Linked DNA regions of Arabidopsis thaliana. The protein of the gene in region 1 purifies or fractionates together with the protein of each later gene. This does not show direct contact. Each region holds a gene or a part of one and is shown in the gene's direction. Other genes may lie near its edges. The genes, in order: AT5G63960 and RFC2.

What was found.
Region 2: the proteins of AT5G63960 (region 1) and RFC2 fractionate together in Arabidopsis thaliana (co-fractionation; one large-scale study listed by BioGRID). This does not show direct contact.

What each region holds. Positions count from the first base shown.
Region 1 is NC_003076.8:25,597,728-25,605,678, forward strand, and holds the start of AT5G63960 (DNA polymerase delta subunit 1), read left to right. Parts: upstream 1-1,786; 5' UTR 1,787-1,869; coding exon 1,870-2,155; intron 2,156-2,249; coding exon 2,250-2,360; intron 2,361-2,441; coding exon 2,442-2,548; intron 2,549-2,627; coding exon 2,628-2,787; intron 2,788-2,875; coding exon 2,876-3,071; intron 3,072-3,164; coding exon 3,165-3,300; intron 3,301-3,387; coding exon 3,388-3,576; intron 3,577-3,735; coding exon 3,736-3,813; intron 3,814-3,995; coding exon 3,996-4,087; intron 4,088-4,219; coding exon 4,220-4,286; intron 4,287-4,377; coding exon 4,378-4,449; intron 4,450-4,525; coding exon 4,526-4,612; intron 4,613-5,126; coding exon 5,127-5,246; intron 5,247-5,321; coding exon 5,322-5,420; intron 5,421-5,526; coding exon 5,527-5,634; intron 5,635-5,739; coding exon 5,740-5,835; intron 5,836-5,971; coding exon 5,972-6,037; intron 6,038-6,132; coding exon 6,133-6,189; intron 6,190-6,316; coding exon 6,317-6,404; intron 6,405-6,484; and 11 more. Other genes in the region: CHR24 (chromatin remodeling 24), read right to left, coding at 1-90, 343-474, 567-678. UniProt on the Arabidopsis thaliana protein: This polymerase possesses two enzymatic activities: DNA synthesis (polymerase) and an exonucleolytic activity that degrades single-stranded DNA in the 3'- to 5'-direction.
Region 2 is NC_003070.9:23,421,075-23,425,768, reverse strand, and holds RFC2 (replication factor C 2), read left to right. Parts: upstream 1-1,854; 5' UTR 1,855-1,997; coding exon 1,998-2,159; intron 2,160-2,433; coding exon 2,434-2,540; intron 2,541-2,631; coding exon 2,632-2,733; intron 2,734-2,830; coding exon 2,831-3,026; intron 3,027-3,116; coding exon 3,117-3,245; intron 3,246-3,325; coding exon 3,326-3,520; intron 3,521-3,590; coding exon 3,591-3,701; 3' UTR 3,702-3,935; downstream 3,936-4,694. Other genes in the region: AT1G63170 (Zinc finger, C3HC4 type (RING finger) family protein), read right to left, coding at 1-195; AT1G63150 (Tetratricopeptide repeat (TPR)-like superfamily protein), read right to left, coding at 4,481-4,694. UniProt on the Arabidopsis thaliana protein: May be involved in DNA replication and thus regulate cell proliferation.

The sequences.
Region 1 (7,951 bases):
CAGCCAGCTCAGTGTTAGCTTCCTTTGATTCATCCCAAGATGTGAATTTGTTCCCAATTCCAGCGCTGTCTAGTGATGTCTCTCCTTTAACTGATTAGAGCATCATGCAAAAACAAACGTATTCAAGTAAAGTTATCTGACAAAACGCAGTATAATAACAGCTATAAAGACCGAAAATCAAACACCAGACTAGAAACTCAGATTTCGAAGAAACCCTAATTTCAAAGTAAGCTACTAGGACAAAATTGAAATACATCATCAACGGAAACACCAATTTCTTTCTGTAAACTAAGAGACATGGGTTTGCGAAAACCCTAAAATCGGGTGAAATCTCAAAATTACCTGGGGAATAGAAATCAACCAAATCAGGATCGTCATATCCATCAGCTTCGTCTTCCTTTGGCAAGGCCTTGCAAAGACGACGTCGTCCAGCAAGCTTAATCATGGACTTCTTCGTCTCTTCATCTTCTCCATCTGAAGTCCCCAAATATAATAAATAAAACTCAAAATCAAAGACAGATACGAATCCGAAACCATAGAGAAACGATAGAAGAGAACAATCGTACGAGAAGAAGAGGGAGGCTGTCTAGGAGGCGCAGAAAGATCCTGGAGGATACTGTAGTGACGATCGTTCAAGCTCCGAGGTTTTCTTCTATGGCTGGCCGTATTTTCCGCCATTGCTACACCGTTTTCTGGAGATGAGTTTGTGTTTCCCGATGATCGATTGTGATAAATGGAGAGAAGAGTGAGAAGAAGAAGAAGATGATGAAGAGAATGTTTGGAATCCCGCCTTCCTTGGCTTTTTTGAATTTTGAAGATTTCTCAGTTCCGAGACAAATGGCTCTTGTGCGCTCTCTCTCTCTCTCTCTCTCTCACATTTAACCTACAATACAACAAAATATGATTTTATTTCCTTTTTGGTCAGATATAATAGTATAATATTTTTTGCGTTGGTCTGAATTGTTTAGTAACAAGAACATCCGATGTGGTACACTTTTTTTACAAGTCATTTCAGATATTACAAGTCATTTCAGATAATACAAGTAATAATTTGTTCAATATCTCATGATGGAACCAAAAAATGACGGTTTGATGGAGGCGGTCGCTTTTTGGAATTTCCGGCTCTATTCATGGCTTTGGATGATCGGGAAAAGGAAGAGAATGTGTGAAATTGTGAGCTCGTGGACGTGGAGGGTTCATTACTTACTACCTTGGTAAATACTTGGCTCCTTCCATATACAGTACAACAAAATTTGCTGCAAGAGTTTGGAGACTCTATTGATTTGAAGATGCTCGACATGTTCGAGTTCTGCTTCCAACATAAACCAAGTTCCATTATGAAATGCGGCATCAACCTTAGCTAGTTAGCTACCAAGTGTACCATCACTTGCCTAATTGTCTTGGTCATGAATCCTGATATACTAAAAATAAAATAATTAAAGAGAGGTCGAATTCTCTTATAATTGTAGATCAAATGAACAATGAACGATTCTATGTGTATCACGATCGAACTCTATTATAAGGTTGTCTCTTTTGATCTACAATTATTCGTTTTTTTTAGCAATCAAAACTTCGTATAAGCACTTAAAAGTCTTAAACATTGGTCATCCGACAAAATATATTTTAATTCAAAATAATTGCAACCACAATAAGAAAAAGTCCGTAACGATTTGGTTAATAATAGCATTGTCTAGGGACTTAAAGAAAAGTTCCTTAAAAAACTTCACATTGACATCAAATCTCTAATAGCAAAACCCTTAAAACTGGCGGGAATCGGAGTGGTGTATAGTCTCACTTTCTACTTCTCTCAGACCTCCACGAGCTCACAAAATCACACACATTCTCTTCTTTTCCCGCTCACCCAAAGCCATGAATAGATCCGGTATTTCCAAAAAGCGACCGCCTCCTTCGAATACCCCACCACCGGCGGGTAAGCATCGAGCCACTGGTGATTCAACACCATCTCCGGCCATCGGAACCCTAGATGATGAATTTATGATGGAAGAGGACGTGTTTCTGGACGAAACTCTCTTGTACGGCGACGAAGATGAGGAATCCCTAATCCTCCGTGACATTGAGGAGCGTGAATCGCGTTCCTCGGCTTGGGCTCGACCTCCGCTCTCCCCCGCGTATCTCTCGAATTCACAGAGTATCAGTTGAGTACTATCTTAGTTTGATAAGGGCTTCTTCATCTTATGATTGCTGGAAAATTTCTCAACACTTGGATTTGTGTATTTTGATTTGTTTAGTTTTCCAACAATTGGAGATTGACTCTATAATCGCGGAGAGTCATAAGGAGCTGTTACCGGGTTCCTCAGGGCAAGCTCCAATCATTAGGATGTTTGGGGTTACCAGAGAAGGTGAGTGTTTTTAAACCTCTTTTTCTTTTGCTCTTTGTGGGGAACGATTTCGTTGGATTTGAGTTTCTGGTATATTGTCAGGTAACAGTGTGTGTTGCTTTGTTCATGGATTTGAGCCATACTTTTACATTGCTTGCCCTCCTGGAATGGGGCCAGACGATATTTCTAATTTCCATCAGAGTCTTGAGGTATTTACTATGTAGATCTCTGTATATTTTGTACTTTGATCTCGCTGGTTTTGTTTTAAAGCTCAGCTGATTCATTCAGGGAAGGATGAGGGAATCCAATAAAAATGCCAAGGTCCCGAAATTTGTTAAACGTATAGAAATGGTGCAGAAAAGAAGCATTATGTATTACCAACAGCAAAAATCCCAAACTTTTCTGAAGATTACAGTTGCATTGCCGACTATGGTGGCAAGCTGTCGCGGTATGACTTCCCAAATATTTGTGCGCTATGTGTCTACTATCTCTTATCCTTTACTGATTTAAAGTCATTGTAATTATTAAATTGGTAGGCATCCTTGATAGAGGCCTACAAATTGATGGATTGGGTATGAAGAGCTTCCAGACATATGAAAGCAATATTCTTTTCGTTCTCCGTTTCATGGTTGATTGTGATATTGTCGGAGGAAATTGGATTGAAGTACCTACTGGGAAGTATAAGAAAAATGCAAGAACTTTGTCATACTGCCAATTGGAGTTCCATTGCCTGTATCCTCATCGGAATTTCTTTTCTGGAACAATAATATGCTTATAGTAACATATTGTATTTTATGCCAGTGCTTTCTTTAACATGGGTTTTAGGTACTCAGATCTAATCAGTCATGCTGCAGAAGGTGAATACTCAAAAATGGCTCCATTCCGTGTACTAAGTTTCGATATTGAGTGTGCAGGTCGTAAAGGACATTTTCCGGAAGCTAAGCATGATCCTGTAATCCAGGTTAGCTGTTTTTGTCATTTTTTGATATACCTTTTTGTTACCTTTGTTTGCATTCTTCTTGAAACAACATTCTCATTGCTTTTCTAGATAGCGAACCTTGTTACTCTTCAGGGAGAGGATCACCCATTTGTACGCAATGTCATGACTCTTAAGTCATGTGCTCCAATCGTAGGCGTAGATGTCATGTCTTTTGAAACAGAAAGAGAGGTCTTACTAGCTTGGAGGGTATTGTTTTTGCCTCTTCATTATTATATATGCATTACTTCTTCTTCATCTGTTTTTTGGCACCTTGCTTGCAAAAGTAAGTTCTATTACAGTTGTTAAATCCTGGAGGACTCAGTGAAAGATTTAGTAAACTTTATGTTGCTACTGCAATTTTGTTGTGGGCTTGGTGAAACATGTGTTCTGCTGATGTATGAGATGTATTGGCTGCAGGATTTGATTCGTGATGTTGATCCTGATATCATCATTGGTTATAACATCTGCAAATTCGATTTACCTTATCTGATTGAGGTACTTGAACATTAGATTTTACTTTTATTGACGGATCAGTATCACCTCTGGTTAGCAGAAGCGTGTTTTTCTTTCTTATAGCATTCTATATGTAATATTATGCTATGCTCCGCTGGGTCATATGGCACATGTATATGTGATGGATCTTTAACCTAGAAAATATGCTGTTTTCTGATTCTCAGAGAGCTGCTACACTGGGAATAGAGGAATTTCCTCTTCTTGGTCGTGTAAAGAACAGTAGGGTCCGGGTCAGGGACTCAACATTTTCATCAAGGTGATGTAGGAGTAACTGGTGCTTGCTAACTTCCATCGCTTTCTCTATTGTTTTTTTGTTATGCTTCATGCTTTTTGTGCCTCATGAGTTCTCTAAACTCGCATCTTATAATATTATATTGCCATGTTTCAGACAACAAGGAATAAGAGAAAGTAAAGAGACCACAATTGAAGGAAGATTTCAGTTTGACCTTATTCAGGTTTTTTGTCCTTAACAAATTCATTTTGGTTGAGTCATTCTTAGATTGTTTATTTGTAACATCAACCTGATTCGTCTTTTAATTATTGTAGGCAATACACAGAGACCACAAATTAAGTTCTTATTCGCTGAATTCTGTCTCAGCTCACTTTCTTTCCGAGCAGGTGAAACCGAGTAATTATGCTTAGAATTTCAGGTTATTTCTACTTTCCATGTGGCTAACCTGATTGTCTTCTGCAGAAAGAAGATGTCCACCATTCTATAATAACTGATCTCCAGAATGGGAATGCGGAAACCAGGAGGCGTCTTGCTGTTTATTGTTTGAAGGTACCTACTTTTATTTATTCTGGAGTAGTGCTGTCTATGTCCTGATGCATTGCCTGTTATTAGATAACTTTAAGATTTTCTAACTAGCTATCAAGCTTGTCTAACCACCTAAAGGTCCTATTGCATGTTGTCCCAAGCTATGATGGGAGTCCCAAGTCCCACCCTTTCTAGTGTAAAAGATGAACATTGATGTGTGTTTTAAAAACTTTTTTAGTAATCTCTGCTTATATTTTTGTACGTGTGGCAAGAGGAAACCTTGTAGATAAGGGTGTATAGAAATGGTTGCTCATATGTCCATTCATGATTTTTTTGAGCATGCTGGAATCTGGATGTGAGGTAGGCTTGAAGGACTTCTGGCAATTGCTGGCGATATTTGTGACACATGGAATAATGTGTTTCGTAGGATGTGTGGAAGGATTTTCAGACACTAACTTAGCTGCTTCTCTATTAATAGTCAACCAACTAAATATTACAAGAAGCTACAACTTCACCACGTTTCTTTTCTCTGTTACAGGATGCATATCTTCCTCAGAGGCTTCTGGACAAACTGATGTTTATATATAATTATGTCGAAATGGCTCGTGTAACTGGTGTCCCTATTTCATTTCTTCTTGCGAGAGGACAGAGTATCAAGGTAGTTCTCAACTTCTAGTTTCTGGATGTGTTTCAGTTTAATAAGGTGGCTGATATATTGTGTCTTTGCTTCTAGGTTTTATCTCAGCTTCTTAGGAAAGGCAAACAGAAAAATCTGGTTCTTCCAAATGCTAAACAGTCAGGGTCCGAACAAGGAACTTATGAAGGCGCAACTGTAAGTGGGTGATTTATGGATCTAACATTTCCTTTTGGCCTATCGGTTGCATTAATTCCACTGTTCCGACATGTTTGTTGTTTTGGATATGTCAAACGATATTCAGGTTTTAGAAGCAAGAACAGGTTTCTATGAAAAGCCAATTGCAACTTTGGATTTTGCTTCACTGTACCCGTCAATTATGATGGCATATAATCTGTGCTACTGCACCTTGGTAATTCTTTTGATATTTTCTTTTCAATTTCTATTTATTTTATCATCTATTGTTTATACACCTTATTAATTTGGGAGCATTATTTCCATGTTCTTGTCTTTGAAGGTGACACCTGAAGATGTACGCAAACTGAATCTTCCACCTGAACATGTCACTAAAACTCCATCAGGGGAAACATTTGTTAAGCAAACTTTGCAAAAGGTTTCCGCATTTAGTTAGATTTTTATTATCCTCAAGTTCCGCAAATTCTGTTGAATGAGTTCTTTCAGGAAATACAACCAATTAATAAATTCAGGGAAGACAGCAGTTTATTAACAAAATGAATAATTTATTTCAGGGTATACTTCCAGAAATTCTCGAAGAGCTTCTTACTGCCCGTAAGAGAGCTAAAGCAGATTTAAAGGTAAAACATTTGATTCCGAAGAAACTCTTGCAGTGTGTGCGTATCTGTATACAGCCTTTAACTACTACTATTGAAACTGGTATTGTCTAATCTAGGAGGCTAAGGATCCCCTTGAGAAGGCTGTTTTAGATGGTAGACAGTTAGCGTTGAAGGTGAACTTCTTTACTGCCAGCTTCTTTAACTTGGTCATTCAGAAAAATGATTACAATCCTCGGAAAATTTCGAACAATATCCTCCCTGTAAATTGCTCTTTTACATTTGTTTTCTATTTTTTCTCAGATCAGTGCAAATTCTGTCTACGGGTTTACGGGAGCCACTGTTGGGCAGTTACCATGCTTAGAAATATCCTCGAGTGTAACTAGCTATGGTATTTCTTTTGTGAAACTGCAACTTTTCTAGACACGTAGCCTTTTAGGTTCGTTCTGATGGATTTGTATCTTTTTGAAGGTCGTCAGATGATTGAACAAACAAAGAAACTTGTTGAAGACAAATTCACAACACTGGGAGGGTATCAATACAATGCAGAGGTACATGTTCATTGAATTATTCGTTGTATTGAAAAGACTTGAGTGAATCATTAAGTTTGCTCTTAGATTTCTCGAATTTGATGGACTATGATGTATTAGGTCATTTATGGAGACACGGATTCAGTCATGGTGCAATTTGGAGTATCGGATGTAGAAGCTGCGATGACCTTGGGGAGGGAAGCTGCAGAACACATTAGTGGAACTTTTATCAAAGTAAGTGATTTTCTAGGAGCATGTCTTAAACTTCTCCGGTTCTCCCTAATCCTTGGGGTAGAGGTGCAAGATTACGTGATTTCTTGAAAACAAAATATAACAGGCTGAATCGTTCTCTGTTTCTTGATTGTGTATGATGTCATAAAGCCCATCAAATTGGAGTTTGAAAAGGTCTATTTCCCATATCTTCTCATTAACAAGAAGAGGTATGCTGGTTTGCTATGGACAAATCCTCAACAGTTTGACAAAATGGACACCAAAGGTAAATCTTCGTGATTTTACAGCCTCTCTCTTATTCATTTCCTGACTAAATTTCAATATCACCGACTTTGGCAGGAATCGAGACAGTACGAAGGGATAATTGTTTACTGGTTAAGAACCTCGTGACTGAGAGTCTTAACAAAATACTTATTGATAGAGATGTTCCAGGGGCAGCTGAAAATGTCAAGAAAACCATTTCGGATCTTCTCATGAACCGTATTGACTTGTCACTTTTGGTGATTACTAAGGTAATATGTTTTACTTGATTTATTGTCCTGTGATGTTTGTATCGCCTGAAAGTGTATTTTAATGATTAAAGCCATCTGTTAAAACTAAAACAAGAATCAAATGGATAATGCTCCTGATGTGTTTCCTCAAATCATAGGGTCTAACGAAAACAGGAGATGATTATGAAGTTAAATCAGCTCATGGTGAACTTGCTGAACGCATGCGTAAGGTTTGTGGTACTCTTTATCTATTTTCGTCTATCATTTGCAGGATTAAGCATTTTCATTACATGTTAAGATAACTCTTGACCGTTTCCGTTCGTGAAGAAACATGTACAAATGTGTCTAGGGGAATTTTCGTTCCTTTACTCTAATTCCAGCATCTCATGGACACTCTCAAACTGAAAAATGGGAGTGCTAAACAATTAAATTTTAATTTTTGGCTTGTATAATATTTTAATATGGTTCTTTGGTCGTCTTTTTATAGCTGCACAAGTGCAGGGATTTTTCTTAAGTCATGCATAATTTTGCTGAATATATGAATTTTTTTTCCGGCTTTTTGGTGAATATATAATATCATACAAAGGTTGCTCTGAAACTTAGATCTGTTTTACGGTGTCTGATGATCTATCATGTGAATATGACAGTGTTTGCTTACATATGTGACAGAGGGATGCTGCTACAGC
Region 2 (4,694 bases), on another chromosome or scaffold:
TTGTCTCTCTTCAAGCTGCTCAGCCGCAGCTTCACGAACAAGCATCGATGGCTCTCTCATCATCATTCTCCCGCTACTTGCATGTCTTAGTAACCTCGCCGCTTCTCTTAACCCTTGTCTTCTCACCGATCTCCTTCCTCCTCCTCCGTCGGTTAAAATCAAAGGCGTTGCTTCCGTCGTCGTCTCTCTTGACATTTTGCTTTCTCTTTTCAAAGTTTCTTCCTTTCTTCGAAATTTCAAAAATTGATATCGAATTGATGAAATTGGTGAAGCTTTACGCCATTAAATTGGGGCAATTTCAATCTCAGAGACAATTTCGGATTTGTTAGGGTTTCGATTCGAACAGAGAGAGAGAGAGACAGAAAGAGAAAGAAGATGATGAGTCGGACAAATCGGGAAACGTGATGTTTGAAAAATGAATATAAAAAATCAAAATTGTAATGAATTTAATGTCTCCTCAAATGACAACCAGAGAAATTAGGGGACATATATGTAATATTCAGTTTTTTCAGTGGCTATATGGTAAACTTACACTAACTTGATTCAAATTAAGGGTGGGTAAGAAACTGAACCAAACCATATTAAACCGAAATTTATTCTTTTGTCCAACTGAGTAAAAAATTAACAAAAATTCGAAAAATTTTAAGCATAATTTTTAATCGAAAACCGGAATAAATCTAAATTAAACTCAAATCCAAATTGAAAATTTTTAATCGAAAAAATTATAGTTTATACGACATCTATTTAGGGAACAAACCCAAAAAAAAACTCAACTAATTTTTATTTGGACGTTTAATACCCAATTGTTTTTGGTTGGAAGGTAAATACACGAAGTAATAAAACCGTGCAATTTAATACACAAACAAGTAATTGTTGTTATTTTCATACTCACGATCTCACAACAAAAATAAAATTCCAATTTTACCCTTACCATCTCAATTAATTATTAATTTTTTTATAATATAATATTAAATTTTATAATTTTGAATAAAAAATAATTTTATTAACATTTTAGTTTATGGTCTCTAATTTTTATTATTATTATATTATTCTAAAATTTAACATAAAAATTATAGAAAATTAAAAATATTTTAAAATGGCCGGTAAATATTCTTCGTAGTGAGAAACTCTCTTTTCGATTGTATATCCTTCAAGAATCAAACTATTTTCGACAAAATCTCAACCCGAATCTCATCGTATTTCTCAAGATTTATCAATTCATAAAAATGGCTAATTTTGTTTTTAGTAGCAAAATAGCTAACCTCAACCCAAATCTCAACGAATTAGATTAATCTTTGATTCTAAATTTCCTTAAAGAGAAAACGATTCTTTGATATTGCAACGATAGAAGAAGATTGTAATAATGACTATTTTAAAATATTTTTGATTTTCTATAATTTTTATGTTAAATTTTAGAATAATATAATAATAATAAAAATGAAAATTTAAATTTTAGAGACCATAAACTAAAATGTTAATAAAATTAATTTTTATTTAAAATTATATAATTAATATTATATTATCAAAAAATAATAGTTAATTGAGATGGTAAGAGTAAAATTGGAATTTTATTTTTGTTGTGAGATCGTGAGTATGAAAATAACAACAATTAATTATTTGTGTATTAAATTGTATGATTTTATTATTTCGTGTATTTACTTTCCAACCAAAAACAATTGAGTATTAAACGTCCAAATAAAAATTAATTGAGGTTTGTTTTGGTTTTTTTTCCCATCTATTTATAATAAAATAGACCAATTTTAAATTTATCGAACCGAACTGGGCATAAATGTAACAACGAGTTTTAAAAGGCGGGGCTATATAGTGAAATTAATATACTTTGGGTACAGAATTCGGATGTTTTCTTTTTATAGGCCCTTTAATGAAATGATTGTATAAAAGTAAAACCCTTAATCGGATCCTCCAGCAATTTTCCCTCCAAACCAGAAAACCCTCCAAATCTCACCGGTCGGAGATTCCTTCTCTTCCGACTGATAATGGCGTCTTCTTCATCAACCTCTACCGGTGACGGATACAATGAACCATGGGTGGAGAAATACAGGCCGAGCAAAGTAGTCGATATCGTTGGAAACGAAGACGCCGTCTCCAGACTTCAAGTCATTGCTCGCGACGGCAACATGCCTAATCTTATCCTTTCCGTAAGATTTTACTCTTCTGTTGACACTCTTTGATTTAAACCCTCCTCGAATTTGCTAAAAAGTTTTAGGTTTGATGAAAACTTGATCAATTAGGGCATTTTGGGTTTGTTTACTGTGTAGATTTCATGATAAAGCTTAGATTTTGAGGGTTTTTAATCAATTTCTATTGTCTGCCAAAGTTAATGAAGGTTTGATTTTTAGAAAATCTCTGTGTTTAGTATTACTTGTGGAGATTTGATATATGATTTTGTGTTGTTTGGTTGTATATCCTTAGGGTCCTCCTGGAACAGGTAAAACCACAAGCATTTTGGCTCTTGCTCATGAGCTCCTTGGCACGAATTACAAGGAGGCTGTTCTGGAGTTGAATGCATCTGATGATAGGTATGTGATGCCAATCTTTTACCTATGGGATGTTGTTCTATCTTCAATCGTTGTTTGGTTAGACATCTTCAATGTTCTGTTATGTTTGTAGGGGTATTGATGTTGTAAGGAACAAAATTAAGATGTTTGCGCAGAAGAAAGTAACACTTCCTCCAGGGCGTCATAAGGTTGTTATCCTAGATGAAGCTGACAGGTTAGTGACTTTTACTTGAGTATTCCTTCTCAAGTTGAATTGTTCCAGTTAAGTGTTTTTTTTTCTGACTTTCTGTTTTCGGTTTCTAAAAAACTAGTATGACATCTGGAGCACAACAAGCATTGAGGAGAACGATTGAAATCTATTCGAACTCTACGCGGTTTGCACTTGCTTGTAATACATCAGCCAAGATTATTGAGCCCATTCAGAGTAGATGTGCCTTAGTTCGATTCTCTAGATTATCTGATCAGCAGATACTAGGCCGTCTCTTGGTGGTGGTTGCAGCAGAGAAAGTACGGATTTGCCACTTTTCTTTCATTCGACATGTTTACTTACTGCAATTTTGAAAATTTTCTAATTGCTTATGTTTTCAATCTCTCAAGGTTCCGTATGTGCCTGAAGGCCTTGAGGCGATAATCTTTACAGCTGATGGTGACATGAGGCAAGCTCTGAACAACTTGCAAGCCACATTCAGCGGGTTTTCGTTTGTCAACCAAGAAAACGTCTTCAAGGTTTGAAACAAAACCTTAATTCACTTTGGCTTATAAAACACATTGGTTTCATATCATCAATCAAAGATCTCTTCACTTAGGTCTGTGACCAGCCTCACCCGCTTCATGTCAAGAACATTGTTCGCAATGTGTTGGAAAGTAAGTTTGACATCGCCTGTGACGGCTTAAAGCAGCTCTATGATTTGGGCTACTCTCCAACCGACATTATCACAACGCTTTTCCGTATAATAAAGAATTACGATATGGCTGAGTATCTGAAACTTGAGTTCATGAAGGTATACATCTGATTCTCCTTGACAGCTCAAAACATCCAAACTTTCGTCTAACACCAATGCTTTTCTTCAGGAAACTGGATTTGCGCATATGAGAATCTGTGATGGAGTTGGATCTTATCTTCAGCTATGTGGTCTTCTGGCTAAGTTATCCATTGTTCGTGAAACAGCGAAAGCACCTTAAGTTAGGTAACTTCCACTCATCTCTAGTGATGAACTGGTGGCCGGTCTATGTTTAAACCAAGTTGGTTAAATCTCGTTGTTTGAGAATTCGGATAGATGTTGGAACTTCCATGCTGTATTGCTCTGTTTTCTAGATTTGAATTGCTTGTGAATGTTTCTGAATATTAAGCTTAATCCTAACCAGTTTGGTATACCAACACATTTTTTTATATAATACCATGCTATTTGTTTAAATCACATAAATGAAAAAAACAATACACAGATTATTTTACACATTACAACCACTCTATATAGTCTACGCAAGTGCGAGAGATGAATCGTAATTTTTGTAGGTAAAATGTTGAACCTATTTGTGTAATTCGATAACACTATATGAGTAAGGCATGACATTGTGAAATGGTGTAAACTCTTGGTCTGTTACATTGACTTTATATTATGAATAAACACACTTGTGACCAAAAAAAAGAAAAAAGAACTGGGAACAAGAAACGAAATAAAGTTATATTTATTGAACCAAAACTATAAAATACGTTTGGTTAAAAACCAAATCTACTACAGTAACCATAATGATGACACGTCTGAAATCTTCTTCTGTAGCTCGTGTGTGTTAACCTAACATTGAAATACACAAAACAACGTATCAGAGTCATCTTCATGAAGCTTACAGACACGATAACAACTAAATACACACCATGTAACATAAGGACTCTGTTGCGAAAAATATCAGAGTAAAGCAACATGATTCACCTCAGACTCCTCCTACCTCGAGGACAAACTGTTTTAAGAAAGCATATTGAGAAAGCTTTTGTCCAATCTCCCATCATGCAACATATTTGTCACCAAGCTAATGGTTGAAGCATCTCCAACAAACCCAGAACTCCTCATTTCTTTGATGAGTTCTGCTGATGCGGCTCTGTCACAATCTCTAAGGTTTGCTCTGATAAGCGTATTATATGTACCACTATTTGGAAGAGTACCATCTTCTTTCATTTTT